Linked DNA regions of Schizosaccharomyces pombe. The protein of the gene in region 1 interacts with the protein of each later gene in a biochemical or structural test. Each region holds a gene or a part of one and is shown in the gene's direction. Other genes may lie near its edges. The genes, in order: rad3, cds1, mrc1 and ccq1.

Region 1 (8,591 bases):
CTATGGAAATCATGTATTAAACCGTATACAACATGATATTCTGGAGAATCACTTCTGTTGTCTAAAAAATGTCAAAGACTTTGTATGTGGTGCAAATACAATCTCCATGCAGTGGAATCTGCAAAAGAATATGGAATTTATCAGCTCTGTTTTTTCCTTAATAAAAAATGAAGTAAATGACACATCAGCTAATAGTGTCATTCTAAGGACCGATGCGCTTTCAAATGTTGCTACCACGAGGTTGAAAAGAAAATTAACTAGCGCTATTATTGACTGCTCGATTCCTCGTCGGAGGTTGCGCCACTATAGTAATCCAGAAATAGCTGAATTTAAGAATTTTAGATTATCTACGGATATTTCCCACAGTAATGTTAGGAATTCGAAAAAGCTATGTTCCAATGGATCTATGAATTGTATGAGGCAAGGCAAGGCAGTTTTTCCTCGAAAGATCCCATATCAAGAGCATGACTGGGAACAATGGGAAAAAATTGCTCAATCCTCGATGTTTAAGAATCGTTCAATTGCTTCACGTCAATCATTGGAAACTTCTGATGTTACTTTGGACATTAATATGTCTTCAAGACATTCAAACGGAACTTCCTCAATGCTTTTCAAAGACTTTACAAAACATAATAATTGGGAGGCGTCAACTTATCCGTCTGCACCTAAGAATACTCGTACTTATCCAACAGCTGAAGTTGAAAAAACTCGGCATGATTCCTCGCAATCAGCACGTCAATTGAAAGCAAGAAGTACGGCTACGACGATTTCTATTTCCTTGTCGACGGTGTCAGACGTATTCACCTTACCTCGCAATAATCTCAAAAGCAAAACAAATACGAAAAAATGCAGAGATAATTTGAATCTATCAGGTTTATCTTCTTCAACTTGTAATGCAAATTCTGTGAACAAATTGATGAAACATGTCATGATGGGAAACGAAATGATGAAGTACCCGAGAAGTGAGAGTTTCAAAATGTTTAAAAAGAGTCATTGGCGCTATTTTTGGATTAACCCGCATTGTGAAATGCTGTGCTGGTCTAAAACAAATCCATTTATTGAAAAAGGAAGGAAAAATCAAGTCAAGTCTGTGAAAATTAAGGGAATGACTATTATAAAAGCCCCAGATGCCTTAAAGAACGCCAATTTACATAATGAAGTTATTGTGATGCAGACAACTGATAAGCCCATCGTCTTAAAAGCGAAAAGCAAGAAAATTCACAATATCTGGGTTCAAGCTATCAAACAAATAAATCATAAGGCTATCTTTGATACTAAGCCCGGCATTTAAGCATGTTTCAGTCATTGCTTATAAGTTTTAAAGTAAACTGTTTCAATATTCCCTAACAACTTTTAAAGTTATACCAATTGTTTTTATTAAGCGGCATCAAATAGAAAGATATTAAACCACTGTAAACAACTAAGAATCAAATGTCTTAATCAGTTTTGTAAATGAGGTTTATACGATCAAGCTTTATTGCAATTCGACATGCACTAATGAGGATGATATACTTTCCTATTTTGTCGAAAAAATTGCTCTTTCTATACAATTCATTTTTAATCAATCAATTTATCATACGAGACATTTAAATAGCAAACAAAAGACGACTAACGTTTAAAGGTAACATCGATAATGTTAGTTTTATCAAAACAAATTATCCCGTATAAGCAAAAGAAGATTCAGACTTAACCTTGACGGAGTTTTATGTGCAAAGAATTAAACATTGCTATTACTGGTAAACATAACAAATCTGGGCGACTTTCAATTACTGAATGAATAATAAGCAACCTGTTAAATGATTTTAGTGCCCAGATGCACTTTCCGTGTATTACCCCAAGAACTTTTAGCGAAAGTTAAAAAGAGCACAATATATCTGGCTAGTTATTTTACTGCATCGTTACATCATGTTAAAACTATTAGAGCTTACCATACAAAAACTGAAAACGTCACATAATTAACTCGGTACTACTAATTAGGTAAACCGTGCTTTTGCTCATTCCCTGTGGTGTGTCTCTTCGATTCAATTTTGTAGATTGTTTTCATTTTCCTTATTCCTTTCTTTTTTTAAGAGGGGTTTGACAGATACACAGCATTTCCAATTCTAAAAATTACTCATTTTAACAATTGCCATTGCTTTTATTCAAAGGATCAGCTAATTAAGTTCCTTTTTCAATAAGGGAGAAGGATATATTGGATTCTTGATTCCCAACGGTTAAAGAAATCATCGTCAGCATTTTTATTTTGTAAGAAATGACTGTTTTTGTTGTTTTTGGAGGGCATGGAAAGGTGGCCTTGCTTTTTACTAAAATTGCTACAGAAGCTGGCCATATAGTTTACAATGTTGTACGTGATTATGTTCAGAATGAAGACATTGAAAAAGTGCATGGCAGAACTTCTGTCTGTTCACTTGAGAAGGCGACGCCTAATGATATTGCTCAGTTTTTAGCTGAAATACACCCTGATGTTGTTATATTTGCAGCCGGTGCAGGAGGTAAAGGCGGCCCTGAACGAACAAGAGCCGTCGATTATGAAGGTGCTATAAAAGTTTATGATGCTATGAGGATAGCTGGTATTCGACGCTTAATTATGATATCTGCGATAGATAATCGTGATATGAGCCAACCTCCTCCTCCTTACTATACGGCTGCTGATATAGAGCTAAGTGAGAAAATACATCAGTCAATTGGAACTTATTACCATTACAAGTACCTAGCGGATCAGGAATTAGTGCGACGCTCTAGTGATATTGATTGGACGATTTTACGTCCTTCTGGTATGACAGACGAGAAGGGTTCTGGAAAAGTTGCATTGGGTAAGATATCCATAAATTGTATGATGTCTCGTGAAAACGTCGCGCGTACTGTACTACTGTTCGCTCTTGATAATCAGTCCATCCATTTGGTGGTTGACATGACGGATGGAAATGTGCCAATATATAAAGCCATTGCTGGATTCGTCGTAAAAGGAGAATCATCCTATACTTATTCAGTATAATGTAATGACATTTTCGGATCCTTCGCGTATTATTGTAGTCCACGCATCTTTTACTCCTTTCTTAAAATCTTCTGAAAAAAGAACGAAAATTTTTCAATGACCTATGAAGCGTACGCAAATTAATAAATATTTAAGTGAGGGATACTTTAGTTATACCCTTTATAGTTGAAATAAATGGAAGATCATATCAGGTAGTGTAAACATTGTGTTATCGTTTATTAACTTTGGCATAAGCAGCTTAGTTATAACATACGGCTAGTAAATCTAATTTCTGACCTAGAGATTACTACACTCTTTGAAAACAAAATATATTAGTTTAAAATGTTAAAAGTAAATGCATTTTATTGAAGTTAACCAAAACGTGAACAAGCAACTTTAAATAAAATAATAGCCGTACATCAAGCACAAACAATTCGAACTGGTGCTAACATCTAATAAAGAAAATACAGAAATATTAAGCATAATCTAGTTCAATTGTCATTTGTTGCCTCATTATGGAATTCCAAACTCGCCGAATTTATACAATGGCGTTCGTCAGTAGGATTAGAATAACCTTCTCCTTTAAAAATATGGCCTAAATGACCACCACAGTTGGCACAAACTGCTTCTACACGATGCATTCCATAAGAGTTGTCTTCAATGCGTTTCACCTTTCCAGGTAAATTATCGAAAAACGCAGGCCATCCACAATGGCTTTCAAACTTTGTGCTAGCTTTATAAAGAAGCTCTTTACATGCAGCGCAAACAAAAACGCCCTGTTTAGGGAACTGATGAGTGAATCGTCCTGCACCTGGGTGCTCAGTACCCTTTTGTCTCATAATTCGATACTTCTCAGGACCTAGCTCCTTTTTCCATTCATCTTCGCTTTTTTCCAATGGAAATCCCATCTTTGTATTATTTTTGACGTTTTGGACAGGGTAGGAGACGTTATATGCACGTTTCAAAAGATTCGTAAACTTCGTATTTCCACAGATTGAAAAGTGTGTAGTAATCACTTTTTTCATGAAAACACAAGACGATATGTACCACAACTGGCACTACAAAAATTTTCAAGTAAGTAAACGACTTTTTGACCACTATTTATGTGAATAGGTAGGTACCAAGTAAAAACTGCTTAGTAAGTATAAAACACAGAAGAATCCGCGATCTAGTGAACCAATGCCCTGCGTATGACGCTCCACTGACGCTATAGTCAATGAGAACTAGGATGTGCGATTATAACTTATCTTTTCAATATTTTCTTATTATTTATTTAAGAAATAATTGAATTAAAACTCATTTCTTCTTTTATTAGCCGTAAAATAGCTTATTTTCTCTCCTACTACCTTTCAACAATAACTTTTTTTTTTGTTTATTGACCATTATAATCACATCAAAAGTCAAAAAATTCAATCATTATCAGAAACATCCAGCCTAATATTACTTAAAAGTTAGTTTCCTCTGAAAATTCAGTATCACAAAAGCTCGTTAATTAGCATCGCTCGATACTTAGTGCACCATGCATCTTCCTTTACCTCGTGAGTGGAAATCGATTTGATAATCGATTGCCACTTTTCGCATAATTCTATTGAGATATTTTATTACTTACAATCGTCTTTTATAAATGCTCAAGACTTTGAACGCGCGTGTTGCGTTTTAAAAAGGCCTTTTTTTGAATTGAATCAATGGTTTGATATAGTATGAGCCAACACGCAAAAAGGAAAGCTGGGTCACTCGATCTTTCACCCAGAGGCTTAGATGACAGACAGGCTTTCGGACAGCTTTTGAAAGAAGTATTAGCATTAGACAAAGAACATGAGTTAGGTAGAAGTAATTCTTTACCATCTATGACCTCCGAGCTTGTTGAAGTTTTAATTGAAGTTGGTCTTCTAGCTTTTAAACATGATGATTCAAAATCTGAATTTATCTCTCCTAAGATGCTAAAAGAAGCCCATCTCTCTCTACAAGCGTTAATGCTAATCTTAAAAAGGTCTCCGACAGTTTTGCGGGAGATTAAATCATCTGTTACTCTTTTGGATTGGATTTTACCCAGGACTATATCATTGTTTGCTGATATTCGTTTTATTAAGTTATTTGACTCATTAAAAGAGTTTCATAAGCTAATTTATCAGCTAATCAGTGAAAAGTCATTCCTATGGGACTTATATGCTTCGTTTATGCGTTATTGGAAATATTATATTACAAACGTTTCTTCTATAGTTCTCCAAATCACTAATGCTACATTCCCTTACAAGATGCCCTCACCCAATTCTCAACCATTGCAGAGTATCACCCCAAATTATCCAACCCATCGAGAGGACAAATTTGATTTACTTATCATTAATATAGAGGAGGCTTGTACATTTTTCTTTGAAAGTGCCCATTTTTTTGCACAATGCTCATATTTAAAGAAATCCAATTTTCCTAGTCCACCTCTCTTTACAGCGTGGACTTGGATCAAGCCATGTTTTTTTAATTTTGTTATTTTATTAAAACGAATCAGCATCGGAGACTCACAGCTCTTTCTACATTTGCATTCACGTATAGTCCAAACTTTATGCTGTTTTTCCTTGAATTTTATATATCATGGCCTTCCCATTTGTGAAAAATCTAAACATATTTTAATGTCCTCCATCAACTTAACATTGGGATCATTGAAGAAAACTTATACAGTTGCTAATACTGCTATATCTCTTTTTTTTCTCTCTTTATTTGTTTTACCCAAAACTGTAGCTGGTCTATTCTATCCTTTTGGGGTTTCCTTACTTTCTGACTTCAAGGTATTAGAGCAACTTGAACCAGATTCTGATCTCAAAAAGGCAATAATATTATTTAAGTGCAGATACCAAAGTTCAGAAATAGATCAAACAACTCTCCGTGCTTTTGGCGAAATTTGTACTGGTAAACTTGAAAACACGTTGTTTTCTAACTCTGAATTAAACCTTTTTCTTTTACATTATCTTTCCTTGGACAATGACTTGTCAAATATTCTTAAAGTGGATTTCCAGAATGGTCATAACATATGTACATTTGCAAAATGGTGTATAAACAACAACTTAGATGAACCGTCTAATTTAAAGCACTTTCGTGAAATGTTAGATTATTATAGCTCTCATAATGTTACAATAAGTGAGGACGACCTGAAGAACTTCTCTTTAGTTTTGTGTACTCATGTTGCAAAGGTGAATGAGAAAACAAATAGTATTTTCCGCACATATGAAGTACATGGTTGTGAAGTTTGTAACTCATTTTGTTTACTATTTGATGAGCGGTCGCTCTTTAAAATTCCTTATCACGAATTGTTTTGTGCATTGCTAAAAAATCCCGACATAATTTCCTCTTCTGTTAAACAATCATTGTTGCTTGATGGCTTTTTTCGGTGGAGCCAGCATTGCTCAAACTTTAATAAAGAATCAATGTTAAGTTTAAGAGAATTTATTATGAAAGCATTAGCCAGTACTTCAAGATGTTTACGTGTTGTTGCTGCAAAAGTTTTGCCCATTTTCATTAAGGGACCTAATAATCTTGATATAGTTGAATTTCACAAGGAAAGTAAAGCCTTGATTTTTAATACGTTGAAAATATTGGCGGTGGAAAATACAGCTATTTTAGAAACGGTCATTCTTTCCTGGATCTCCTTATCTAGAGTGGTAGAAGAAGAAGAATTACATTTTGTACTATTGGAAGTTATATCTTCTGTGATAAACAGCGGAATATTTTATCAAGGCATTGGTCTCAGCGCTCTGCAACAAATTGCCTCGACGCGTCATATATCCGTTTGGCAATTACTTTCTCCATATTGGCCAACAGTGTCCGTTGCGATTGTCCAAGGTATGGGTAAAAAACCGAACATAGCCAGTTTATTTGCTCAGCTTATGAATATTTCCGAGGGCGATTTTCTTATTCGAACACAGGCGTACACTTTACCATTCCTTGTACTTACTAAAAACAAAGCGTTAATAGTACGTATAGCTGAACTTTCACAAAGTGATGTTGCTACTTTGTGCCTTACCAATATGCATAAAATCCTTGCTTCGCTACTTACTACGGATCATCCTAATTTGGAAGAGAGTGTGATGCTTCTTCTTTCACTGGCCACTTCTGATTTTGAAAAAGTTGATTTAACGTCTTTGTTACGCTCTGATCCTATTTCTATTACTGTGGAGTTGTTACAGCTTTATCAGAATGATGTTCCTCATGAAAAAATTGAAAATGCTTTAAGAAAGGTAGCAATGATTGTCTCTCAAGTGGTTAATGACGAAGACTTGAGCAATAAGGAATTACTTTATGATTTTTTTAATAATCACATTTTGGGTATCTTAGCAGAATTTTCTAATATCCTTAACGACCTGAAAGGAAAGACTTCAATTAATGAAAAGATTAAGACAATTGTCGGCATTGAAAAAATGTTATCTTTATGTGGAGGTGCAGTCAAACTTGGATTACCACAGATACTTTCTAATTTACAAAGTGCTTTTCAAAATGAGCACTTAAGGTTTTATGCAATCAAAGCTTGGTTCAGTTTGATATTAGCAACCAAGGAGCCCGAGTATAGTTCAATTGCTGGTTTAAGTCTTGTAATTTTACCTCCTTTATTCCCTTATTTAGAACCACAAGAAGCAGAGCTAGTAATTCAAATATTTGATTTTATTTCTTCTGACACACACAAGTGCCTACAAGGATTAAAGTGGGCTATCCCCACCAGTCTGGATTCAGCGTGCTTTAGCCTTAAGGCTAAAGAAATATTCTGTTCGCTTCAAAATGAAGATTTTTACTCTGAGCTTCAAAGTATAATTAAGTGTTTAACTAACGAAAATGAGCCAGTTTGTTATTTAGGTTTACAAAAATTAGAACTTTTTTTTCAAGCCAAGGTGGACGAGTTACATGACACACTAAATTTGGACATATCCAACGAAGTTCTGGACCAATTACTAAGATGCCTTTTAGATTGTTGTGTAAAATATGCTTCAACAAATATGCAAATATCATATCTTGCTGCAAAAAATCTTGGTGAATTGGGTGCGATAGATCCCAGCCGCGCCAAGGCTCAACATATTATTAAAGAAACAGTTGTTCTTGATAACTTTGAAAACGGAGAAGAAAGTTTGAAGTTTATTCTAGATTTTATGCAATCGCAGTTAATTCCAGCTTTCCTTGTTACTACTGATACTAAAGCACAAGGTTTTCTTGCCTATGCTCTGCAAGAGTTTCTAAAGCTTGGTGGATTCAAGTCCGCAGTGATTAATAAAAAAAAGGGACTAACTGTGGTAACAGAACATTGGATGTCTTTGCCTGATTTATCCAAACGTGTGCTTATACCATTTTTAACTTCCAAGTATCATTTAACACCAATCCCCAAAATTGACATTCGGTACCCTATTTATAAAGAAAATGTTACTATTCATACTTGGATGCAGTTGTTTTCTCTTAAATTGATGGAGTACGCCCATTCGCAAAACGCTGAAAAAATATTTGGTATTTGTTCGAAAGTAGTGAAAGACCAAGAGGTTAACATTCCCTGTTTTCTTCTTCCCTTTCTTGTTTTAAATGTTATTTTAACCGAGTCAGAACTGGAAGTTAATAAAGTCATTGAAGAATTCCAGCTTGTTATTAATCA
Region 2 (7,758 bases), on another chromosome or scaffold:
AAAGTGGTAGGAAGTCAAGGTTCATGCCGAACTTCTGTATACCAGAGTTTGATAACTCATCATTGGTTGAATAAAGCAGATATTGAGACAAGCTTCCTATCTGATTCACATAATCTGGAAGTTTCTGAACAGCTAAGCTTTCGATAAAACTCATTAGCTGATTAAAAGGCTTTAAAGTATAATCGGAATCAAATGCTGTAACGTTTACGTTTTCCAATAGATGGAAAAGACAATTTGCATCTTCGCCTGTACAGACAAGGTTAGAGAACAAATCACTTAACCAAGAGAGCACAGCATCCTTTGAGTCATCAGAAATATCACGCTTTTGAAGAAAAAACGGTATTTGCTCAATTAATGTTACCGAAATTGGTGAAACCTCGGGCGCCGTCTTTTTTTGAGAATTCACAGAGTGCTTTTTAAAACAGTCGACACAAACATCTAAATAAGCAAAAACTCGAGATATACAACGGTTGATACACGAATTTAAAAATTCTAAAACTGCTTTATGTTGCGTAGGAGATGTGTGTTGAAGAGAAGCTAAAATCGTCAAAATAGGAGGGACAGCGAGCGATGGACAGAAAATGATAGTTTGGCTAAAGACATCGTTTAACGTGCTAATGATTGCATCTCGAAGCTTTGAGTGACTTGTTTGTAAATACATCAAGCATAGGAAGACAAAAGGTGACCTAACTACGTCAAACCATTTAACTTCTGGAAGATATCGAAGAATTTGGATAATATTTTCAACATGTAAACGTGAAAATGGACGGTCTAACATTCCCGGCGAAAGATCTAACCGTAGAAATATAGAGGTGTCAATTTTTAACTTCAAAATGTTTTCCGGGAAATAAGTGAAAAAATAAAGTAAAATCCTTGAAAGTCCTTCTTTCAGCAAATCTGATTCTGTAGAAGAATAAAGCTGTACAAAAGTTTGAGAATCGGGTAAACGTAGTAAAATTGCATCAGATATCTTTGACACAAGTTCAACTTTATTATCTTCAGACAATTCAGAGCGTTTGATTTCATCCAATACAGACTCTAAACGTTTAAACGACGCTAAGAGAGTGTTCACCGTTAAAAAACAGACAAATTTGTCATTACCGTTCAATGCTTTAAGGACTACAGGCTTTGAAAAGGAAGAAGGCAATATGTTCTCAATTATAATATTAGTAGGAGGAACTGTTCTTGTTTCTGCATCGTAAAAAGGAAAAGGAATGCCCATACCAAGTATTGCTTGGAGTAATGAAACGAAAGAAATCCATTGATAAGATAATACCGGTTCAGAGGTCAAACTATTTCTTTCTATAAATGATGCCGTAATATCTGGACAAGCCTTTAATATTTTAAGGACTAATTCCCGCTGTAAAGTACTTGTATGAACATGCAATGAAAAAACAAATGACTGTAAGACACGATTAAAAATAGTTTTGGATTGTCCATCCACCTTCTTCTGTAAATGCCATCCATTTGATACGAAGCAAAGCCCTTCACCAGGTACTGTACAAGCATCGACAAAAAATTTATGAACAAGATTGCATAAGGAAATGCCATCAATTTCATCATCTCTTGAATAAAGAGAAGCTAAGCATGACAATGACCATTCATTAAAATAAGATAATTTTGTTGCCCTAGAAACATCATGATCTAGTAACACATAAGTGAGCCAACATTGAAGTAGCTCCTTAAGAACCGAAGGCTCATCATTGTATATACCTTTAAACAAAGGAGTAGTTAGTTTCCTTGAATTTAATATTTCCAGTCGAATTTCTGGTGTACCAAGCCTAAGGAATGTAATGAAAAGAAGTAGTAAAGAGGACCGCTTTTTTGATATAGTGATTTTGAGACGCTTATTTCCTTTCCTAGAATTTTGAATTTGATTAGGTAGCTGGAGCATCTTTATAAAAATTTTACTGTTCCAGTCAATAGCTTGGAATACACGAACACATGCCAATCCATTATTCCAAGATGCCATTTTTTGAAGTAGAGAAAGCGTATGCAAAGGAGAATTGGATGTCAAATTCCGATATATCTGCTTCAAATGATGATCTAAAATTGCATCAATATAACGAAGGGCAGATTTATCGAACTCAACGGTCTTTAAAACTTTTTCCACATGAGCAGGATGCTCTAATAAAACCCTGCTCAATTCATCTATCTCTACATGGAGTTAGCATAATTGTAATGACTAAATTGACTCACCCTTATCCAAATCAATAGATCCAGATTCCATTTTGCCAGAAAATTGGCTACTGAACACTTACTGACAAGGTGTTCAAGTGATGGTGGATGCGAACATGTAAATTGTAAATACGTGAACAAATATATCAATCAAAAAATTAGCTAACCCAACGAAACTAACAAAAAAAATTTAATTATTCTTTGACATAAATATAAGTCACGCATTGTAGCAAAGATTGATTAATACAAGTTCAATACCCAAGTATACAGACAATGAAAGAAGGAACGCAATCGATTTCTTATTTAAAACCCAGAAATCTAAGCGAGAACCTCTACATTAATCATTATTGTAGTGTTCAGCTATTTGTATGCGCATGAAAAGATTTAATTTCTCATTTCAAATCATGATAAAACATATACTCGTGAATTTATATAGAAAGCTCGAGGCAAGATATTGAGATAAGTTATGAAAATGATCTAATTATAAGCAAAAACATTAAGACTATTGGCTTAAATAACAAACGAGGAAATTAAAGAATATGGAAAAAAGGATTATATATGTTTTCTGAATTCAGATACCTTTTTCTTCTGCGAGACAAAGGCAATAACTTGTAAAGTTATTTGCAATGGCGGTAGAATTAAACATAGTAAGGTAAAAAAATAGGAAGGTGTGATTAAAGGTAGGACATTATGTATGTTTTCATATAAGGTCTCAAGATCCGAATTATTTTCTATTACAATGTCCGCAAGCTGACACTTAAGTTCAAGAGGCATCTGCGCTTGTACTCGGTTTTCAGCATCCTCTGCAGTAAGCTCAGGATTACGTGCCAGCAAACGTTGCTTTTGAATGCTTTTATCGCAAGACACGCAGATCGTTTTCCAGCAAATAAATTGCATTTTAGCTTCAAAAAGCAAAGGAACGTCCAAAATAACTATGCTGTAACCCCGTACGTAACATCGAAGCAGTTCTTTGAGCATTTCCAAACGTACTGCTGGATGTATTATTGAATTCAAAAGTGACCTCTTTCCTGCGTCTTGAAATACTGCCTGGCCAAGCTTTGCTCGATTCAAAGTGCCATCTTCATGTAATACTTCATTACCGAACTCTTTCTGAATTTTTATTAAGCAAGGTGTATTCGGTTCTACCACCTTTCTAGCTAACACATCAGCATCGATAATTTTTATATGATATTTCTCTTGAAACTCGCGAGAAACTGTAGATTTCCCTTAACTAGGTTAACCACTATTAAACCAATTGTTATTTGATAACTTACCCGTGGCAATTGAGCCGGTTAAACCAAGAATCAGCATTATATTTCTTATTCCTTGCTTTGGTATAGAAGATTTTTGAATAATGGTAACAATTAAGGAGATCAGAAAACTATTTAATGCCGTAGAACAAAGTCTTCAATCGCGGAAGTCGAAGTTTGAAATACAAAGGAATGTTGACAGATGGCAACCTTCACGTATACCAAAAAAATATAAATAGGGATTACTACTACTTAACAATTAACATTTAATCCTCACTACGTATAACGTACAGTAAAGTAGGTGGATGAAACATTGTTTATATTACTCGTGCTTCGCGAAAAATCTGGTATTGCAACAGTTCGTTATTATTGTCTTATGATACATTTTATATCGTAAAATTTATAACGATGTTTAAAGCGAAGTCAGTAAATCATAAGCCCTCGTCTGACATGATAACTGCTTCTTTGGTCTTTTTACTTCTGTTAAAAGCTTGATCACTCATTTGCACGTTTATTTGTGTTTACTGATATACATGGTTAAAGAATTCATCCAGTTTTTCTGTTTTTAAGATACTATGGAAGAACCAGAAGAAGCTACGCAGGCTACTCAAGAGGCACCACTACATGTTAGTCAGAACATAGCCAAACAGGTGGTTAACAACGAAAATGTATTTATGAAATTGGTTATGACTCGCATGCTTGATGGTAAGACAGAAGTGATTCCTCTTACTACAGATGTGCACAATGGGTTTTGGAGATTTGGACGTCATAAATCTTGTGAAGTGGTTTTAAACGGACCTAGAGTTAGCAACTTTCATTTTGAAATCTATCAGGTATATAAAATAATAGTGGCCAGCTGAACTCGTTTAGTTTTAATTGAACTTCAATCTCTTTAAGACATAATTATCTAACGAAATGACCCAGGGGCATAGAAATGATTCCGATGAATCTGAGAATGTCGTTTTTTTACACGGTAAGTCTAAAGGATTAAAAAATCTTTTAAAGTCTTCTGCCTCTTCCACCTTTTCTAACAATTTCAGACCACTCTTCTAATGGAACATTTCTGAATTTTGTAAGCGAGAGCTTAATTCGTTTACAATTTACTGACGTCATTTAGGAACGGCTTGCCAAGAATAGTAGAACTATCTTGTCAAACGGAGATGAAATTCGAATTGGCCTAGGTGTGCCGAAAGATGAAATTTGTACGTCCTTTACACTGAAGGAGATTGTTGACGTAGAATTCACTTCAAGTTTGCTTACAGTCTTATAGCTTTTTTGTGCCAGGTACCAGTTAAACATTCACGAGATTCCCAGAAAAACATGATTAAATCCGAGAACAGTCATTACGAAATTATTCGTACACTTGGAAGTGGTACATTTGCAGTTGTCAAGCTAGCGGTAGAAGTGAATAGTGGCAAGTGGTATGCTATTAAAATTATCAACAAACGAAAAATCCTTTTGACAAGTTCGGAAAAGCGAGCTACTGAAATGTTTCAACGAGAAATTGATATATTAAAATCTTTGCACCATGTGAGTATCATTTTATGTTCACCTTTTTTTATACGAAAAACTCCTAGCTAACACTTATCTTTTAGCCAGGAGTTGTACAATGCCATGAAATTTTTGAAAATGATGACGAGTTATTTATTGTTATGGAATATGTTGAGGGTGGGGATCTTATGGATTTTTTAATTGCTAATGGCTCCATCGACGAACAAGACTGTAAACCTCTTCTCAAACAACTTTTAGAAACGCTTTTACATTTGCACAAGCAGGGTGTGACACATAGAGACATAAAACCCGAGGTATATCTTGTTTATTGATAAGAAAGTCTAACTTGTAGAACATTCTTATAACAAATGATTTCCATCTTAAAATATCTGATTTTGGCTTGGCTAAAGTTATTCATGGGACGGGAACCTTTTTAGAAACATTTTGCGGGACAATGGGTTATCTAGCACCGGAAGTTTTGAAGTCAAAAAACGTCAACTTGGACGGAGGTTATGATGATAAAGTTGATATATGGAGTTTGGGATGTGTTTTATATGTGATGTAAGTTTGTCGGCTTTAATCAATTAGCAATGAACCTTCATGCCTTAATTTTTTCCAATTACTAATTCACAGGCTTACTGCGTCTATTCCTTTTGCATCTTCGTCACAAGCAAAATGTATTGAGTTGATATCAAAAGGTGCATATCCGATAGAGCCTTTATTAGAAAACGAAATTTCAGAAGAGGGAATCGATTTAATCAACAGGATGCTTGAAATTAATCCAGAGAAAAGAATATCTGAAAGTGAAGCTCTCCAGCATCCTTGGTTTTACACTGTGAGCACACACGAACATCGTACTCCACCATCATCGTCTGAACATGAGGCCACCGAACAGCTCAATTCTTCGAGTTAGATTATTAATATTTAGTATTCTAAATGATAATTAATTTTTATACTTAGACCGTCAAATTTATAATATTGTAAATAGACAGTAAGTTTACACTAACCACTCTGTCCACGTACTACTATCCCTTTGGACGTCTCGACGCGATCTTTGCCATGTGTGCTTCAGTTACAGAATCGCTTGTATGTTAATGATTTATAAAAACTAGAGCATAAAATACTAAAACTTTCTTTTTTCTTTTTAGCCAAAGTTTCCCGAATTGAAAACTCGAGATTTACAAGGGCAACAGGGACCTATACGTTCCCTAGGCTGGAATCTTTCCGGCTCGAGACTTGCGAGTTCTTCATCTTCAGGATCAGTACTTGTTTGGAATTCAGATCGTTTGGATTTTAAATTTACTACTGAATTAGGGAACAGAGGATATGGTCTTGTCGAACAACTAGTATGGGATCCTACGCATTCTGATCGGTTAATGGCTGTGTATGCTGGGAAAATGATCCGTTTCTGGGACTTTAGAAGTATGCAATGAAGTCTTTGACTGTTTGTTAACTATTTATTCAGGCGCCAAACCTATCGCTGAAATAGAAAGCAACTATGAGAATATTTATGCAACCTGGAGTCCAAGTGGAAATTACTGCTGTGCTAGTAGTCGGGTACGAGAATATTTTAAGTTTTTATAACGCACGATTGCTAATTGAATGCTAGGATGATATGTTGTCTTTTATTGATGCTCGGGAAAGAAGAATAATGGAGACATTCCAACAACCTTGTGAGGTTTGTTTTTAAACCAATAATAACTTTGCTTACGATTAATAGACAAATGAATGCTGTTGGTCATTCAGTGAAGATTTGTTTTTCATGACTACAGGACTTGGCACGGTGCAAATTATGGAATGGCCTTCTCTAAAAAGAGTTTACGATATAAAGGCGCATAACTCAAATTGTTTCTGTATTGAATTCAGTCCGGATAACAGGCACCTTGCCATTGGTGGTGCAGATGCAATTACTAGTTTATGGGATCCACAAGAACTGATTTGTGAACGGTCGATTACTAGAATGGAGTATGTAGTTTCTTTTAAATTTTTTGGTCGCTAACTTCTAAAAAGTTATCCCATCCGTACATTAAGCTTTAGTTATGACAGTCGCTATTTAGCTAGTGGATCAGAGGACCGCTATGTGGATATCGTAAGTATTTCAGGATGTTTGAAACCGTTTCTTATTTTTATTCTTTTTAATAAACTAACTTGGAAGGCTGATACGAAAACTGGTGATCAAATTTGGAAAATTCCAACTAATGGACCTCTGAACAAGGTAGCTTGGCATCCAACAAAACATATTTTAGCATATGCTGTATCGGAGCCTAATTCTAGTGGTCTTAAGATATTTGGGCTATAAATGATTGAAAATTGGCAATCTTGTTCACGCTGATCAACAATAAAAAAACGGCTACTTAGTATTTACCCTATACTCTTAGCATGGATACCTTCAATATTCATTGAAGTTGTAGTTTTAGCTTATTTGGTACCAAAAGTTTTGAAGAATGGAAGAGAAAAATACTGTTTCTTTATCTAAGCATATTGAACGTCCAGTAGAAGTTGTTGAAAGTCATTCTACGTACATTTTAAGTGCACAAGGACTTTATCTTACAGAACGCGTTTTAAGAAGTTATTTTAAACAACCTGATCTAATTATTACTTGGAAGGATAGTATGAGAGCTTACCTGACATTTTCTTCGCCGCAGGAAGCTCAAAAGGCTTACTTAGATTCACTTCGTTGGGGCAGTCAACTGAATGCTATCATTAAACCATTCTACGGTTCGCACGATGAGGTACTTCGTTTATGTAAAAGGAAAAGAATTATTCCACTACAAAATTTCTTGACTTCAGGTTAAACAGATAAATTAGAACACAGCTTAAACTTACCGGAAAAATTAAT
Region 3 (9,182 bases), on another chromosome or scaffold:
CCAAGGCTCTCGTTTTTCTAAGTTGAGACGTTTAAAACGTGGAAGAGATCAAGAAGAGACTCTTGAAAACATATTTTCTGAGGAAGAAGAAGAAGAAGAAAACGAAGTCGATGATGAAGCTCCTAATCGCACGCAAGGCCACCGCGCTGGCGTTATCGACGAATTTGCAGATTTCATTGAACAAGACGAATTTGAAGACGAAGAGCGTCAAGAAGAAAAATATGAGACTGGTCCGCCCATAGAATCAGTACGACCTGAGGCTTTAGGAATATCGGATGATGATTATATACAAATATACGAAGTCTTTGGCGATGGAACAGATTACGCATTTGCCCTTGAAGATGAAGATGCTGAAGACGAGTTAGAAGAGTCTGTCAGTTTGAAGACCATTTTTGAGCCCAGTGAACTAAAAGATAAAATGCTTACCGAGGAGGATGAGATCATAAGAATCACGGATGAACCTGAACGTATGCAACTTTATATGAAGAGGAACATTGATTGCTCTGAAGATGAATTTAGGGAACAAGTTGCTTGGATTATCGATTATCTCTTAAAAAATAGGCGTGATATTGATGCTGAACTATATGAGCCGTTTCAAACTGCTGTTCGCTATGTAGTTCACTTCTTTATTCGTGATAGTCTTGAAGTACCCTTCATATGGCAGCACCGTCGTGATTATATAGTGCATAACAATCGTGAGAGGAACACAATTACTCCTTTATTAAGTCAAAATGATTTGTGGAATATTTTTTTCCTTTGCACCAAGTTTTGGTCACTTCATTCTAAGAAGCAAGATATCCTAAAATTGTACTCTGATTTGGGAATTAATGATGATTTAGTAGTTCCCTTCTGTGAAGCTGCTTCCTCTCTTGATGCAATTGATGACCTTAATGATTACATACATTTCACTTATTCTGAACAAATCCGTGATCGTGCCTTACTGATGGGTACTGGTCTTCGTCGTCCACAAGGTTCGAAGTATTCTTTTTTTGAAAAATTTAGAAAATCATCACTTTACAATCTCGTCAAAGAATTTGGTATGAGTGCTAAAGACTTTTCGTTCAACGTAGCACAGGGTGCTCGTCTCCGTTTTGTGGAAGACAACACCCTTTCGCCTGAAGAACTAAGTCGTACTTATGTGACAAATGAGCTGTCATCACCTGAGCAGGTACTTCAAAAGGCACGTAGAGTTTTAGCAGAGGAAATTATTCATGATCCTCAATTTCGAAAGTCTTTCCGTGACAAATTGTACAATGCTGGAGTCGTTACTGTTTTGGCCACTCAAAAAGGTGTCCGTAAAATAGGTAGTGAGCATCCTTATTATGAATTTAAGTATTTAAAACGGAAACCCTTGGGCTCGTTTGAGTTAGAGCCAATCCTATTTTTAAAAATGTTAAAGGCCGAAGAAGAGGGCTTAATTCAACTATCGATTGAATTTGAAGATCCTGATGATGTTTTTAAAGGTTTACTCGAGCTTTTTGTTTCAGATAATTTTTCTGAGAACGCAATGCAATGGAATGCTCAGAGAGAATTGGTATTAAAAGAAGTATTTAAAAGGTTTTCTGCATTAGCACCCGATGCCATACGTGAAACTTTACGTTCTCGATACCTGGACGAACTTGGAATGCGCTGCCGAAATCAATTGTTTTCAAGACTTGATCAAGCTCCCTATGAGCCCTCAACTAAAAATTTCGATCGTGGCACTATTCCATCAGTCCTTGCCGTCTCCAATGGAAAAGGTGAATCGTCTGATGCCATTATCTGCGTATTTGTTGATGATGTGGGTGAGCCTACTGATTCATTAAAACTTGCCGATCTACGAGATCTTGCTAATCAAGCAATGTTTGCTGAATTTGTCGAAAAAGTTAAGCCAGATGTTATAGGTGTTTCGGGAATGAGCGTTTCTGCTCATAAAATTCGTCAACACGTTCAAGATTCGTTAACGTCTCACGAACCAGTAGATCTAATCATGGTGAATGATGAGGTCGCTCGTCTATATCAGAATTCTACTCGTGCTGTTGATGAATTTCCTACTCTACCAACTATTTCTTGCTACTGTGTTGCATTGGCTCGGTATGTACAAAACCCTCTGTTTGAGTACGCTGCTATGGGTCGTGATTTGATGTCTTTATCATTTGATCCTTGGCAACATTTGCTTCCCCCTGATGTTCTCTGGAAATACTTGGAAACTGCGTTAGTCGATATATCTTCTTTGGTGGGTATTGACATTAACGAAGCAGTGACTAACAAATATGAAGCTAATATACTTCCCTACATAGCGGGATTAGGTCCTCGCAAAGCAGATTATGTTTTAAAGAAAATCGCTGCTACCGGTGGACGTATTGATAATCGTAGTGATTTAATTTCAAAACAAATAATGTCGAGAAAAGTTTTCATTAATTGCTCTTCTTTCTTCATTATTCCTAATGATGAGTATCCCAATATGGATATTTTAGATTCTACAAGGATACATAATGAAGACTACGAGTTAGCTAGAAAAATGGCAAGTGATGCACTAGAACTTGACGAGGAAGATATTGAAGAGCTTGAAACCAATCGAGGGGTGGTTTACCACCTTTTAGAGGAAAACGAAACAGGAAAACTTGATGAGCTTGTTCTTGAAGAGTATGCTGATCAACTGGAACGTGAATTTCACCAGAAGAAGCGAAACACTCTTGAAAAGATCCGTCTGGAGTTGAAGGATCCTTATGGAGAGCAAAGGAATGTATTCCATAAGCTGACACCTTCGGAAATTTTCCTAATGTTAACCGGAGAAAATCCAGAAGAGTTGCAAGCAGATGCAATTGTACCCGTGAATGTTAGGCGAGTTACTAATAGGTTCGTTGCCGTCAAACTCGATTGTGGAATTGATGGAAATATTAAAGCCGATGAAGTGAGTGACGATTTTATACCCCCTCCCCAATTGCTTCAGGTTGGTCAAACAGTCGAAGGTGTAATTATTTCTTTGGACGAGGCTAATTTTATGGTTGATCTTTCACTTAGAAATAGTGTTTTACAATCGGCAAATTCTAAAAGACAAACTAGCTCTCATCGTACATCTTATTGGGATACTGAGGCTGAAAAGCGGGATACTGAGAGGATGCAGGCCGAAACACAGGCTGAACAACGAGTTGCTCGCGTAATTAAGCACCCGTTATTTAAGGATTTAAATGCCTCTCAAGCCGAAGCATATCTGTCGAAAATGCAAGTTGGCGATCTAGTTATACGTCCATCTTCTAAGGGCTCTGACCATATTGTCGTTACATGGAAAGTCGCTGAAGGCTCCTACCAACATATCGATGTGTTAGAATTGGAAAAAGAAAATGAGTTTACAATTGGTCAGAAATTACTAGTAAAGGGAAGATTTGAAAAAATGACTTATCAATACAGTGATCTCGATGAGCTGATTGTTTTACATATTAAAGCCATTGCTAAAAAAATAGATGAAATGTGTATACATGATAAATTTCGAAAGGGTACACAAGCGGAAACCGAAAAATGGCTTGAGAGTTATTCTGAGGCAAATCCTAAACGATCCTGTTATGCATTTTGCTTTGATCATCAACATCCTGGATACTTTATCTTATGTTTCAAAGCTAGTGTTAATAGTCCTGTAACGGCATGGCCGGTGAAGGTTATTCCAAATGCGTTTTTTTTACAGGGCAACGTTTATGGTGATATGACTGCACTTTGCAATGGTTTCAAATTGCTGTATGCTGCTCGAACTAAAAATTTTAGACGGATGTGAGCATTGATGGTTTAAACGCTTTACTCTTATCTGCAACTACGTGACATTTGTTTTACATAATTAAAGAAAACCACCCTTGGTTTATTTCATTTTCACCGAATTTTTGGCACATTAATATTGAAATATCCCTTTTTATACAGTTGATATCTATATGTTTTTTTTTTTACAATAAATTCTCTTAATACCCTGTATTTTTATGTATATATGTTGTAGTTTTCTTGTTAATAGAGCGCAGCTTGGAAAGTCGCGACGCGTCAAGACGCGTCGCGTTTGTTGATGAATTCTAAGGAGGACTAAGAGATGTATCGCGGCAAAGCAACTACCATTACTCGTTCAATAAGAGCTTTGTGGTGCTTAAATCTATGGCATCTTTAGACGAGAACGCTGATGAGTTGCACAGAATGGATTCTTCTGATGAGGCTTCCATCAATGATGATCAAGAGGATATTTTAGATACGCCTCGCACTAGGGTGAGGAAAATGTTGGCGAGTGTTGATATGCAATTGTCTAGCAATGCTGTATCTGAAGCATCTTTGGATAAAGAGAGTACCGTTGGCAATTTAGAGAATCAGAAAAATCGCTCGTATAGCAGCGAAATCTATCTTCATTCTGATACGAATTTTTTATCTAATTTTGACTCTGCTTATGAACGTGTTAGGCGATTATTAAATCAACAAGGTGGTAAGTCTTCTCTCCAAAAAAAGGAGGTTGAACAAATTGAAACTCAAGAGGGAGGTGATAATGCGAAGGGAAGTCCATCCTCTGAAAATAAGGATTCTGATAGAAATTCACGTTTACAACAATTAATTGAAAAGAAACGAAATGCCTTGAAGAAGGAACAGGAAGATCTGATCCAAAACTCTGCTACAAGCCATAGCAAATCAGATAATTTAGATTCTGAAAGTGCAGATGATAGCGATTTGGCAGACGAATCAGAACTTTCAAAGAAGTATACTTCCGACAGAAAAATTCGAAATGCATCTAAAAAGGCTTTACTGGAACTACATCGTAATACTGCCCGCTTAACTAGAGAAACAGCTTTAAAACCAGAAGTGGTTGTTAAAAAGAAAGTGACTCTTCGTGAATTTTTTCAAAAAATAGGATTCAAAAACGATAACCAGCTTGAAAATAAAGCAATTTCGGAAGAGGAAGCTAACTCAACTGAGCCTCCAAATGTTGAGAAGGAAGAGCCAAAACCTAGCGTTGACCGGTCCACGGGAATAGTGAACAGTGAAGACATAAAAGAACTTTCGGTTGAGGATGACTCTTTAGAGTTGAAGGAAATCACTCCTGAAGCATTGGATATTGGTCAAACAAGCTTGTTTACGACTTTAAATCAAACTCAAGTTAAGAAAGAGGATAATAAAAAATTTTTATTAAAGGAAATTAATGCAAAATTGAATGAGGATGACATTGATTCTGAGCTGGAAATTGAAGTTAAGCCCAAGACTACAGCTCTTGATAATATTGAGAAATCAAAGTTATCTGAAGAGAATGAGCATGGAATTAAGGGTAAATTAAAGCAACTTGCTGAAATCAAGCTCAGCAAAGATGGAAAGCCGTTCGAAAATGAATTTAACATTAAGTCTTTTAATCGAAACCTTGTGAAACGTGCAGCTGTTATGGCAAAATTGCAACGCAACCAACTTGAGGAGGAATTGAAAGCAAAGGGAATTTATAAACCGACAATTCAAGGTGAGAAAGAAGAGGAAGAAGATCCGCTTGAACGCGCTAGAAATGATGCTGAGAAAATACGACAACTGGAGAAAGCATCTGGAAATGCAAGTGATGAAGGTGAACTCAACGACGAGGAGGAGGTTATATCATCTTCTAATACTCCATCTACTAAAGCCAAAACCACCAACAAGGTCATAATATCCGACGTGATTATTGAGGCAACACAGGCAGAACCCAAAAGGCGACAAAAAAACAGCCGTGTTGTTTTTGATGAAGAGGATCTAACTGGAGATTCGCATGGTTCTTCGAATATGAAAATTTCTGAATCTGATGATGAAAGTAATGGAGATATGATTCGAGATTCCTTCGATAGGTTAAGTAGTGAGAGCATCAAAGATTCTCAGAAAACAGAAGAATTACACGATTCTTTTGGCATTAATGACGAAGTTGATCAATCTACATCTCTTTATGTTCAAAACAGTCAACCAAGCGCTTCTCAACTCACAATCGTCGACGCTACATACAGTCAACCTCCTCCTCGTTGGGAGTCTTCTAGCAGAGACGACAAAACCAACACCTCATCTACACAGCCGAGTCAAGTAGATAGTCTAGTTCCTACTCAATTAGATTCCACTATTCCTACTCAAATTGATTCTGTTCAACGTAACAAGGATCAAGATGATGAAGAAATATTGGAAGAAAGACGAGAGTCAAGAAGGGACTCCAAAACATTTTTGAGTCGAACTATGCTTTACAATAAGGATACTGGTAAGGCTGATTCTGCATGGGCTTCAGACCTTATTGAGGAGCAAGCTATTGAATCTGATGATGAGTATGCTGGAATTGGTGGCCTTTCCGATGATGGGTTGTCTGACAGCGATGCTGAATTAGAAGTTCAAAATATGATTGATGACGAGACTACTATACAAAAAGGCGAGGTAGCTTCAATGGCACAATTCGCTAAAGATCAAGAAATGGATCGTGATGAAAAGTTAGTAAAACAGCTAATGAAAGACGTTACTACTGGTGCTCTACGAAAGAGGAATAGGAATGGATTTGCAGCTTTGGACGATAGTGACGATGAAGATTACAGTAATTTGCGGCGCGAAAAACTCAAGGAGTTGCGGCGTCAAAAATTATTGGAAGATGGAAACCTTAATGTCTTAGAAGGTGATAAAAGGAAAGCATTTTTAGCTACTGTTGAAGACAGCCTTGTCAGCAGCAAAGACAACCTTACTTGGCTTGATGCTACAGTGGAAGACTCTGGTGTAGGTTCTTCAGATTTAGGTGACGAATACCTTTATTCTGAACAATCATTAAATCATGAAGAAGAAGAGCAAATGGAAGAGGAATTAAGCGAAATATTCTCTAGCGGTGGTCCCAATGTCGTTGATAGAGTATATCTCAAAAAATCTTCAACAAGACATACCTCTGATAACAACAGCTTAGAGGAAGTTTTACCAATCTTTCCTGGAGTAAGGAAACTAGTGAGTAATTCACAGTCCGAAAAAATTGGTGACCTATCAAACGATAACTCGATGGGAGCAAAGTCTTATAAAACACCTATAATTTCTTCTACCCAACGTCCACAAGGACGGAAATTTAGAGGTTTAATGAACCAGTCTTCTAAAGCAGATATTTCCAGAACTGTAGATGCAGGTAGCATCAAAGTTGTCCCCAATTCACAATCCGCCAATCCACCTCGGCTGTTAGCTTCTTTGAATAATTACTCGGACTTTGACTAAGTGGCTAAGAAAGGGGATTTGACGAGCTGGACTTGTCAAACTTGTTTTTTTTGAATGAGGTATTGATAATTTACATAACTAAATTACATAATATAATTTAATGATTCATTAGAAACTTTTGAGATTTTTTAAACTACTTTTTGGTGTATCGTATGTTAACTTTTAAATCTAAAGCAGCTCTTTATTGACGGTTTGAAAAGAAAACTAACTTTCTACAGTAAACCAAAGAAAGGTTACTCAAAAAGGCTAAAGTTGAATGAATTCATCTTTCTTCACCAGCAAACCCGTTGTTTACAATATTTACGTATTAAAATTCGCTATCATCAATATCGCTCTGTAAAGTTACGCGGAAGAAAAATGTAGGGTAGGGTATTAAGAACAGTCACGGCACAATACTCTTTGACAATGAATGTCTATGAAACAAACCATCCACAAAATGGTAAGAATTTTAAAATGATTAAAGAGATAAGTTGATTAACAAAGAAATAGGCTCCCAAGAAGAAATGGTCTAAAGGAAAAGTGAAGGACAAGGCTCAACACGCCACTGTCTTTGACAAGAGCATCATCGACCGTATCAACAAGGAGGTTCCTGCCTTCAAGTTCATCTCGGTTTCAGTCCTTGTTGACCGCATGAAGATCAACGGATCTCTTGCTCGTATTGCCATTCGCGACTTGGCTGAACGCGGTGTCATCCAAAAAGTGGACCAACACTCTAAGCAAGCTATCTACAGTAAGTTTAATATTTAAGTTGTATTATTGCATATACACTAACACAATTTTTAGCACGTGTACCTGCTGCTACTGCTTAAGTTATGGTGTTGCCATTAATCAATAAATCCATTTTTTCATTTTGAAACTTTATCAATGTAGCCAATTTGCTTAGTGTTAACATTTGGTAGAGGTAATTTATTAGCAGTTGTAGATGTAGTATTCTCTGAAAAAGTAGTGCAGTAGTTTTGCTTCAGGAATTGCTAAATTAGTCTCAGTTAGAAATATCTGATGCGTCGGGTACTTTGATAGATGGCTAGTTGAAGATTTCTTCGACTAGCTTAGTGAAGTAGCGTAGCCTTCGTTATGCTTTGGCCTATTGAATTTCATGGATTTGAACTACAAACAGAACACGCTTCCTGAACAATAGACTTTGCTTGCTGTTTAAAAAGGTTTTAAAGAAATGAATAATTTAGTTAAAATTGCTACTCATAGTGGTACTTTTCATGCAGATGAGGGTGAGTACTTATTTCTAAATTAGCTGTTGCAAGATGCTTGGATTTAGTTGCTGGGGGGAAAAAAAATACAGAATCAAAAGAGGTTGGATAAGTCTGATTAATTGGGACCTTAAGCGGATTAAAAGTTAGGGGCTTGTGCGGTTTTATATTGATAGCTCTTGTTTATTATTCAGGAGATTAATCATTCAATTACTCATTTTACTATGCAATTTTTTTGATTTTTGTTTGCATAATGCACAATCAATCTGTCCTGGATTTTGTACCTATGACTTTGTCCTTGTTGCTCCCTACAATAGCTTTCTTTCAAATCTTGCTCTATTATACTAATTATTAAAATATTTAGCCTTGGCTGTTTACATGCTTCGCCGTTTAGATAGATTCTCCGGTGCCCAAATTGTGCGCAGCCGTGATCCTCAAGTTTTAGACTCATGCGACATTATTGTAGATGTTGGAGGAAAGTACGATGGTATTAAATATTTTGACCATCATCAACGTGAATTCAATGATACTTTTTCACCCAAATACAGCACTCGTCTTTCTAGTGCCGGTTTGATCTACAAACATTTTGGTCGTGAAGTTATTCACGCTGTCCTTCCACAGTTGAAAATAAACGAGCAGGATCTTGAAACACTTTATGAAAAAGTTTATCAATCATTCGTTGAAGGTCTTGATGCTAATGACAATGGAATTTCTGCTTATCCGGCTGGCCTAAAGCCTAGCTTCAAAGCCGCTATGAGTCTACCTGAGATGGTTTCAAGTTTCCTTCCTGCATGGAATTCGGAAAAG
Region 4 (6,683 bases), on another chromosome or scaffold:
CTATAGAATCTTCCACTTAAGTTCATCTCTGCATTCTGTTCAAATATAGCTTCCAGTTGCCGTTAGTTCTAATTTATGCTTTCTACGTACAAGCCTTTTGGCCTATTTTTAGGTATCCTTCATTGTTCAAACTAGTAATTAGATTAATAAAGCACAAATTTGAAACTTTCAAGAAGCTTTTTCATGTGATTGCATAGAATGAGAAAACCCAAAACTTAATCCTAATCGGCTAAAAAACTATGTTCTCAATACACTACCATTATTAATATACAATAAATCCAATTCTCATTTTACGAAGCAAGAGCAATTAACATAAGCTAACCGAGCTCTTAAGAAATCTGCAAATAATTGTCGAGAGCAATCATACAAGGATGCTTCACGTTTACGGTTTAGCAAACTTTGCTAGCTCTTCAGTAGAAATAGAAACAAATTTTACACAATTATAAAAGCAAACGTTAAGTAATTAGGGAAAGAAAAAGGAAAACGAGAAGGACGATGAATTTTTAATGCATATATTTTTATAAAACAGTAAATAAGGTATTAGAGTAAAATATGCCATATGTGAGTACATTATAATAACGAGGGAAGTAAACTAACGTCTTCGAGGAGGCTTTTGCATATTTTGAAATTGATTGAGCATACCGCTGAAATCCATACCACCTGCCCCTCCGGGACCTCCGCCTCCCATCAACATGTTAGCCATTTTTGAAATATCACCAAAGTTCATAGAACCTGGATTGAGGCCAGGCATTCCTCCCCCCATACCCATGGCTTGCATTCTTTTCTGCATAGCTGCAAGTTGACGAGGGTCTTTTTTGAGAGCTGCGGCTGGATTTCCACCAAGTTTACCCAAAATTCCATCTTTTCCTCCTATCTTTTTCGCCATTTGCGCAAATACTCGGACCTGAGAAATGGTTTCTTCTACCTCTAAAACGCTTGTACCACTACCCCTTGCAACACGTAAAACACGAGAGGGTTGTTCAACAAATAGAAGACCATCCGAATCTAACTCTTGTTCGGTCATTGAATCAACGATGTAGAGCATACGCTTCATACGCAAAGATCCCTCCTCATCATTCATACCGTTCATCATATTACTCATGCCTGGAATCATACTAGCCATTTTACTAAGTGGTCCCAATTTCATAATATTTCCGAGTTGATCTCGAAAGTCTCGGACCGTAAACTTTCCTTGCTCAAGATTTTTAACCATATTCTTTTTATCAAAATCTAAAGACTGAACGTGTTCCATCAGACCTTCAAGATCACCGAGTCCGAGTAGCTTTGAGATAAAAGAACGTGGAGAAAAGCGCTCCAAATCATTAATATGTTCACCGGTACCAATGAACACGATGGGTGTCTTAGTCGCAGCCACGGCGGATAAAGCACCACCACCTTTGGCATGTCCGTCCAATTTTGTGATTATTACAGCGCCAAAGTCAGCAGTCTCTTTAAACGCTTTGCTTTGAGATTCGGCAGCTTGACCAATGCTAGCATCTAAAATCATAATTGTTTGATCTGGGCGAATAGCGTCTGAAATTTCCACCATCTCAGCAAACAACTCCTGCTCCTGCTGATGCCTACCAGATGTATCAACGATGATAACGTCAAATCTATCGTTTTTGAACTTATCAACACCTTCCTTGGCAATAACGACTGGGTCAGTCTCGGTGTAACTACCAAAGTAAGGAACACGTGCTTTGATAGCATTCTGCTTTAATTGATCAAAAGCACCAGCACGGAAAGTATCGGCAGCAACCAAACACGATTTCAAACCTCTCCTTTGGTAGTGCAGAGCAAGCTTTGAGCATGTTGTCGTTTTACCACTGCCTTGTAAACCTACCATCATGATCACTGAAGGTCTCCCTTTTTTAGGAGTAAAAGCATCAACTTTAGGGTCAACCAAACTGCAAAGTTCATCAAAGACAGCCTTCTGGACGATTCGCTTCCCATTTATACCCTGAGGCAAAGTTGATACATTGATTTTTTTCTTAATATTTGAACGTAATTCTTGAACCAATCGCACATTAACATCTGTTTCCAAAAGTGCCGTACATATATTTTTCAGCAGAGTATCGACAAGCTAAATAAAATTATTAGTAAAGGTTCGTATTAAAACGATAGATATCCTAATCAAAACAGAACATTGGGAAAACAAACTAGAGGTCATTAAAAAAATCTTCAGCTGCCTAAAAGTTGCTTGGTAAGTAAACCCTTTTAGTAACTTGAAACCAAAATCTAACATTGCATTATTAAAAAGGGTTTTAAATTTTCATGTCAAGGTAACGTCGATGTAAACGAAGATAATCCCAATATGCAATCAAGATATATATATATAAGAGATTGGATAAACCAGCTACGCAACTAGAAAAGCATATCTGTGGTAGATGATTTTTCTTATCGACAAATTTCGTAAAGCATGAAACGATGTTCATATACAGCGTGTAAAACATGGCAAATGCAAAATTTTTGAAGAAATCAAGCAAAGATGTATTAAATATTTTTATAAATGACATGGCTCACTCTCCGTATGAGAACAAATTTTCGATAGAATAAAACATACCTCTTCATTCACTGAAGTGGCCTTAGAAAAGTCCCCTAACGCAGAGTTCAAACGACGCCCTAAATCTGCAAAAACCATTTTGTCAGATTAAAAACTTCCAACCAGGCAATTTGAAGTTCGTCAAATGTGGTTGGTAGAGGATGAAGTCGTTAAGGACATGCAGTGTCTTCAAGCGAAAAGTCAATAGACAATTGAGGCAATATGATAAATGCCTAAAGATGAAGTAAAGAAGAGTTTGATATTATCTTTTTAAAAAATATTTTCACTGAGTTTAATACCGAGTTATTTCGCCTGCAAGCTTTTTATTGTTTTCAGTATAGGTGATATATCGACAGGATAGCGCAGCACAGCATTCCTATATAATACCTTGTTTGTATAATATTTTAGAATTAATCTATAGCAAAAGTTCAGTAGGTATAATCTTAAAAAATAAAATACTTATTAAGATTATACTCATGTGTAAAAGTGTTTGACTAGGTCCTGACAATTATTGATGCTTCTCTTTCTCACATTTGTAATAGAAACACGAATCGTAAATTCCGTGGTGGCTAACTTTGTCCCACAATCTTTTGATTCATACTTGCTGTAGTTTGTGTTTTAAGACGCTAATAGAAAAAGATCTAAAAGATTGATATTTGAAACTTTTTATATATTTTTCAGGCGTATGTTCTTATTCACCTTAAACTTTTTTGGAATTTTTCGTGCGTTAATCCAGCAATTAGTCTTAAGATCCAGTTTTTCCAAACTTCACGAAGGAAAGCACTTCCAAGTCCTTATAAGAGCCAGAATGAATTGCAATTAGCTGTTTTTTCAATATAAGACTAAAGATAAAGAATCGTTAACCCCTTAACACAAAATTTGAAAAAGAAATAACATTTACTACGCGTTATGGGTGAATAGTTATATTTGTTTACATAATAGACTTAAATAGAGAGGTGACGCGTTACTTTATTAAAATAAAGATTTGTTATATGAAAAAAAGTAATTAGAGCTCTTTTAAATGCTGTAAACATTTTCCGCTACACAGTGTATTTCGTAAAAATATGTACAAATTTAAAGGCGAACACGGAATTCTGGGAACAACATTTGGGTGGTTATTTGTAAAAACGATAATAAAAGACTCTTTTTAGACCATCTAATTCCTCTAAACGTGCGAAAATTATTTCTTTTCGGACGCTAAATTGGTCTCGTGTTGCAATATTTAAACATTCAATTTCTTGTTGAATTTTAACGTGGATGGCAGTATGAGCGAAATTAACGACTTTACGAATTCAATTATTATCAATGAAAGTGATACGAAATACGAGGTTTACTCTGAGGTGAATTCCAGTAATAGATGGATTGCCAAAGAGGATTGCCCTAGCCCGTTGGAAGATGTATGGCTTCTAAAATTAGCAGGCCATAAGAGAAAATTGGAAGAGCCTCTAAGTTGCATGCGTAATGAAGAACCTGCATCCAAACAAAGAGAGATAGAAAAATTTTTACGGACTGATTTGGATCACTCTGAAAATGACTTTTTAACTCAAGAGGTCGATGAATTCCCTTCTACCCAGCAGTTATTTCCTATTCCTTTGCAAAATGACACTGCCTTTGATTCTTCGGAAGAATCTATTACTAAATCTTCTAAATCCTCGTTCAGCGTGCTAGATATTGGCCTTCCAATGTCTGCGCTTCAAAGGAAAATGATGCATCGGTTGGTTCAATACTTTGCCTTTTGTATTGACCATTTTTGTACTGGTCCTAGCGATTCAAGAATCCAAGAAAAAATACGTCTTTTTATTCAATCTGCTCATAACATTGCAAAGCATCCTAGTCTGTATGATACTGAAGTTCGAAATCCCTCCGCTGCTGAATCCACTAATTCCCACGTTTCTTTAGATGCTTCTAATTTCTCTTCATATGCCGAAAATTCTTCAAAATTTCTTTTTTTGCAAGAATTATTCAAAAATCTTTCCCCCTCTTATTCTAAGACATTTTTTTTATTTATCTCCAACCAATTTCTTGCAAACACACTTACTCAATGGCTAAAATCTCAAAACATTGATGCTGAGTTATGGGCTGAAGAGGATGCAAAGACTAGCCAACATCCAGCAATTTGGATTTGTGTGTCCAAAAAGGCTCCCTCCGCTTCTCATTTTCTTCAATCTTGCCCAGATTTGAGTGCAACCATTTTTTATGATATCGAAGCATACATGAGTGTCACTAGTTCCTTGCCCTCTATTCAAAGCCTTGTCCTTAGGCTCATTCACTTGGGATCTATAGAACATGCCATAAAATGTTTTCAATCATCTTACAATGCCTCATTTTTAGTGAACATTGTGGGTGTGGTTGCCACTCTTAGTTCTTCTTCCGAGGAAAATTCAGAAGCTTCAAATTTGAGCACTTTGTTTGAGAAATCTGGGAACTTTGAGGAAATCCTAGGCTCAGAATCTCACTCTTCTATTACAGAAAAAACTCGAGATATTGCTAAAAATGTTGCGACCTGGTTAAAAAATGGAGAAAACTTCTCTTCTTGGCCACTACCTCCTCTAATGGATTTAGCAAGCTTATCGGTTGCAGAACCAAGGGATTCTCAGCCTTCTGTTTCTCAGGTGAACGATACTTTTGTCAAATCATCTGATAGTACATTTCCTTCGTCGCAAAGCATGCAATCACCTTCCAAACTCCACTCTTTAACAAGTAATGCCACCGATTTACTGTCATCAAGCTCACTAAAGAAAAACTTTTTTTCTCAACAGGAAGCTGATGAGGTAGAACTTTCCAATAATTATGATCTCCAAGGTGCAGCTGTCCAATACCTGCAGCGTCGTTTAAGAATGGTAGAAGATGAATTACACGAAGCCATTAATTCCAAAAACGTACAACAAAGTCGCTCAGAGGAGTTGGAGCAGCAAATTTCTAAGCTGACGGATAATTTACAAGAATACAGAAACACTGTTCGAGAGCTCAAGCTGGATTTGGAGAAATCGAAGAAAAAGAATGAAGACCTTTCAAAGCTAGAAGTTGAGAAGGTTGAAGAAATCGCAAACCTTAAAAAAGAGCTTACCCACTTAGCTAAGCAACAAGAATTTGGCTTTAAATATGTACAAGAATTTTCGAATGAAGATCTACAAGGCAAATTAATTGAAGCCAACGAAAAAAATTACAAACTTACTCAACTGTTAAAAACACAGAAAGAAGACGCTGATTTCATTACTAATCAATATCAAAATGCATCTACTTTTGCTGCTGAGCAAAGCAAAGAGGTTGCGAAACTTCAAGCTGAATGTAAGCGCTTACAAGCTATAAATTCTAAAGTTATGGAAGAGGTAAAAGTTTATAATGATTCAAGGGTAGAAGCATTACTCGCTAAGGTCTCTTCTCTGGAGGAGACCTTAAAAATTTTAGAGCAGAAGTCTCTTCCCAAATTTACTCCACATAATCAATCACCAAGGATTATTGATTCTAACTAAATCATTAACGATCAAGAACTTCAGTGGAATCAACTATAAAAAGTTCGTTTAGTCATACGGTTATTTGATTAAATTATGTCGTAATCAGCTTTTAATGAAACAATTTTAATTGTATTAATTTTTCAACAGTTGCAAAAATATATTGGTTTTCTTCATATATTCATCAAGAAGTTAGACATTTCGTTACATACTAGATTCAATGATCTATGTCATTAATTTTGAATTTGTTTTTGAAAGATTTTAATTGTATCAAATTCGAATATGCATCCTCAAAAGATGCAATATCAACATTGATGAAATAATTTTTTATGCTTCATATCATTTTGTTATGCTCGCAATATCGAACCTGTATAAAACTTCATGCACCTTATGCTCAACAGGTAAGGACCAAACAACCAGCAAGGATTGTAAAGCCTTTAAATACTAATTTTTCATCTGAATAGCACGGTCGAGTATATTCGGCTTCTTACTATCTTTCTTAGCACGATCCAAAGCCAATGTACCGTTTAGTTTTTCAACAACATCATATGTAATGTCTTCATCATTCAAATAGACAACTCTATTGTTATCAAAATCCACCACACAGAATTTAATAACGCTGAAAATGCTTTCTGGATACTGTGTGCGAGCTGCAAGACGTAGTTTTGTATCGATGAATTTTTCCTGGG

The links.
Region 2: of the proteins of rad3 (region 1) and cds1, one has a biochemical effect on the other in vitro, tested with the Schizosaccharomyces pombe proteins (3 studies listed by BioGRID).
Region 3: of the proteins of rad3 (region 1) and mrc1, one has a biochemical effect on the other in vitro, tested with the Schizosaccharomyces pombe proteins (2 studies listed by BioGRID).
Region 4: of the proteins of rad3 (region 1) and ccq1, one has a biochemical effect on the other in vitro, tested with the Schizosaccharomyces pombe proteins (one study listed by BioGRID).

Annotation. Positions count from the first base shown.
Region 1 is NC_003423.3:899,691-908,281, forward strand, and holds the start of rad3 (ATR checkpoint kinase Rad3), read left to right. Parts: upstream 1-4,493; 5' UTR 4,494-4,674; coding exon 4,675-8,591. Other genes in the region: dynein-anchoring factor Num1, read left to right, coding at 1-1,291; SPOM_SPBC216.03 (uncharacterized protein), read left to right, coding at 2,252-2,995; peptide-methionine (R)-S-oxide reductase Mxr2, read right to left, coding at 3,466-3,882. UniProt on the Schizosaccharomyces pombe protein: Serine/threonine kinase which activates checkpoint signaling upon genotoxic stresses. Involved in G2 arrest following DNA damage where it phosphorylates chk1.
Region 2 is NC_003421.2:737,476-745,233, reverse strand, and holds cds1 (replication checkpoint kinase cds1), read left to right. Parts: upstream 1-3,895; 5' UTR 3,896-4,003; coding exon 4,004-4,261; exon of another isoform or gene 4,262-4,352; coding exon 4,353-4,401; exon of another isoform or gene 4,402-4,468; coding exon 4,469-4,500; exon of another isoform or gene 4,501-4,545; coding exon 4,546-4,630; exon of another isoform or gene 4,631-4,698; coding exon 4,699-4,958; intron 4,959-5,023; coding exon 5,024-5,233; intron 5,234-5,271; coding exon 5,272-5,480; exon of another isoform or gene 5,481-5,552; coding exon 5,553-5,832; 3' UTR 5,833-5,873; downstream 5,874-7,758. Other genes in the region: ribosome biogenesis protein Urb1, read right to left, coding at 1-2,157, 2,200-2,230; cab5 (dephospho-CoA kinase), read right to left, coding at 2,731-3,404, 3,453-3,489; THO complex subunit Tho3, read left to right, coding at 5,979-6,005, 6,068-6,341, 6,385-6,476, 6,529-6,597, 6,640-6,884, 6,930-7,008, 7,075-7,218; protein Thc1, read left to right, coding at 7,364-7,714. UniProt on the Schizosaccharomyces pombe protein: Has a role in the DNA replication-monitoring S/G2 checkpoint system. It is responsible for blocking mitosis in the S phase.
Region 3 is NC_003424.3:4,207,272-4,216,453, reverse strand, and holds mrc1 (claspin), read left to right. Parts: upstream 1-4,065; 5' UTR 4,066-4,110; coding exon 4,111-7,170; 3' UTR 7,171-7,251; downstream 7,252-9,182. Other genes in the region: transcription elongation factor Spt6, read left to right, coding at 1-3,748; rps2502 (40S ribosomal protein eS25), read left to right, coding at 7,607-7,609, 7,660-7,900, 7,954-7,979; SPOM_SPAC694.04C (uncharacterized protein), read left to right, coding at 8,342-8,396, 8,740-9,182. UniProt on the Schizosaccharomyces pombe protein: Component of the replisome and is required for rad3-dependent activation of the checkpoint kinase cds1 in response to replication fork arrest. Phosphorylation allows it to mediate the activation of cds1.
Region 4 is NC_003421.2:1,482,496-1,489,178, forward strand, and holds ccq1 (shelterin complex HEAT repeat subunit Ccq1), read left to right. Parts: upstream 1-3,644; 5' UTR 3,645-3,807; coding exon 3,808-6,015; 3' UTR 6,016-6,183; downstream 6,184-6,683. Other genes in the region: signal recognition particle subunit Srp54, read right to left, coding at 593-2,083, 2,564-2,641; ubiquitin hydrolase Ubp5, read right to left, coding at 6,439-6,683. UniProt on the Schizosaccharomyces pombe protein: Component of the meiotic bouquet that facilitates meiotic nuclear reorganization of the telomeres to the centrosome. Links telomeres to the meiotic centrosome component pcp1. Essential for the formation of normal telomere clusters during meiotic prophase.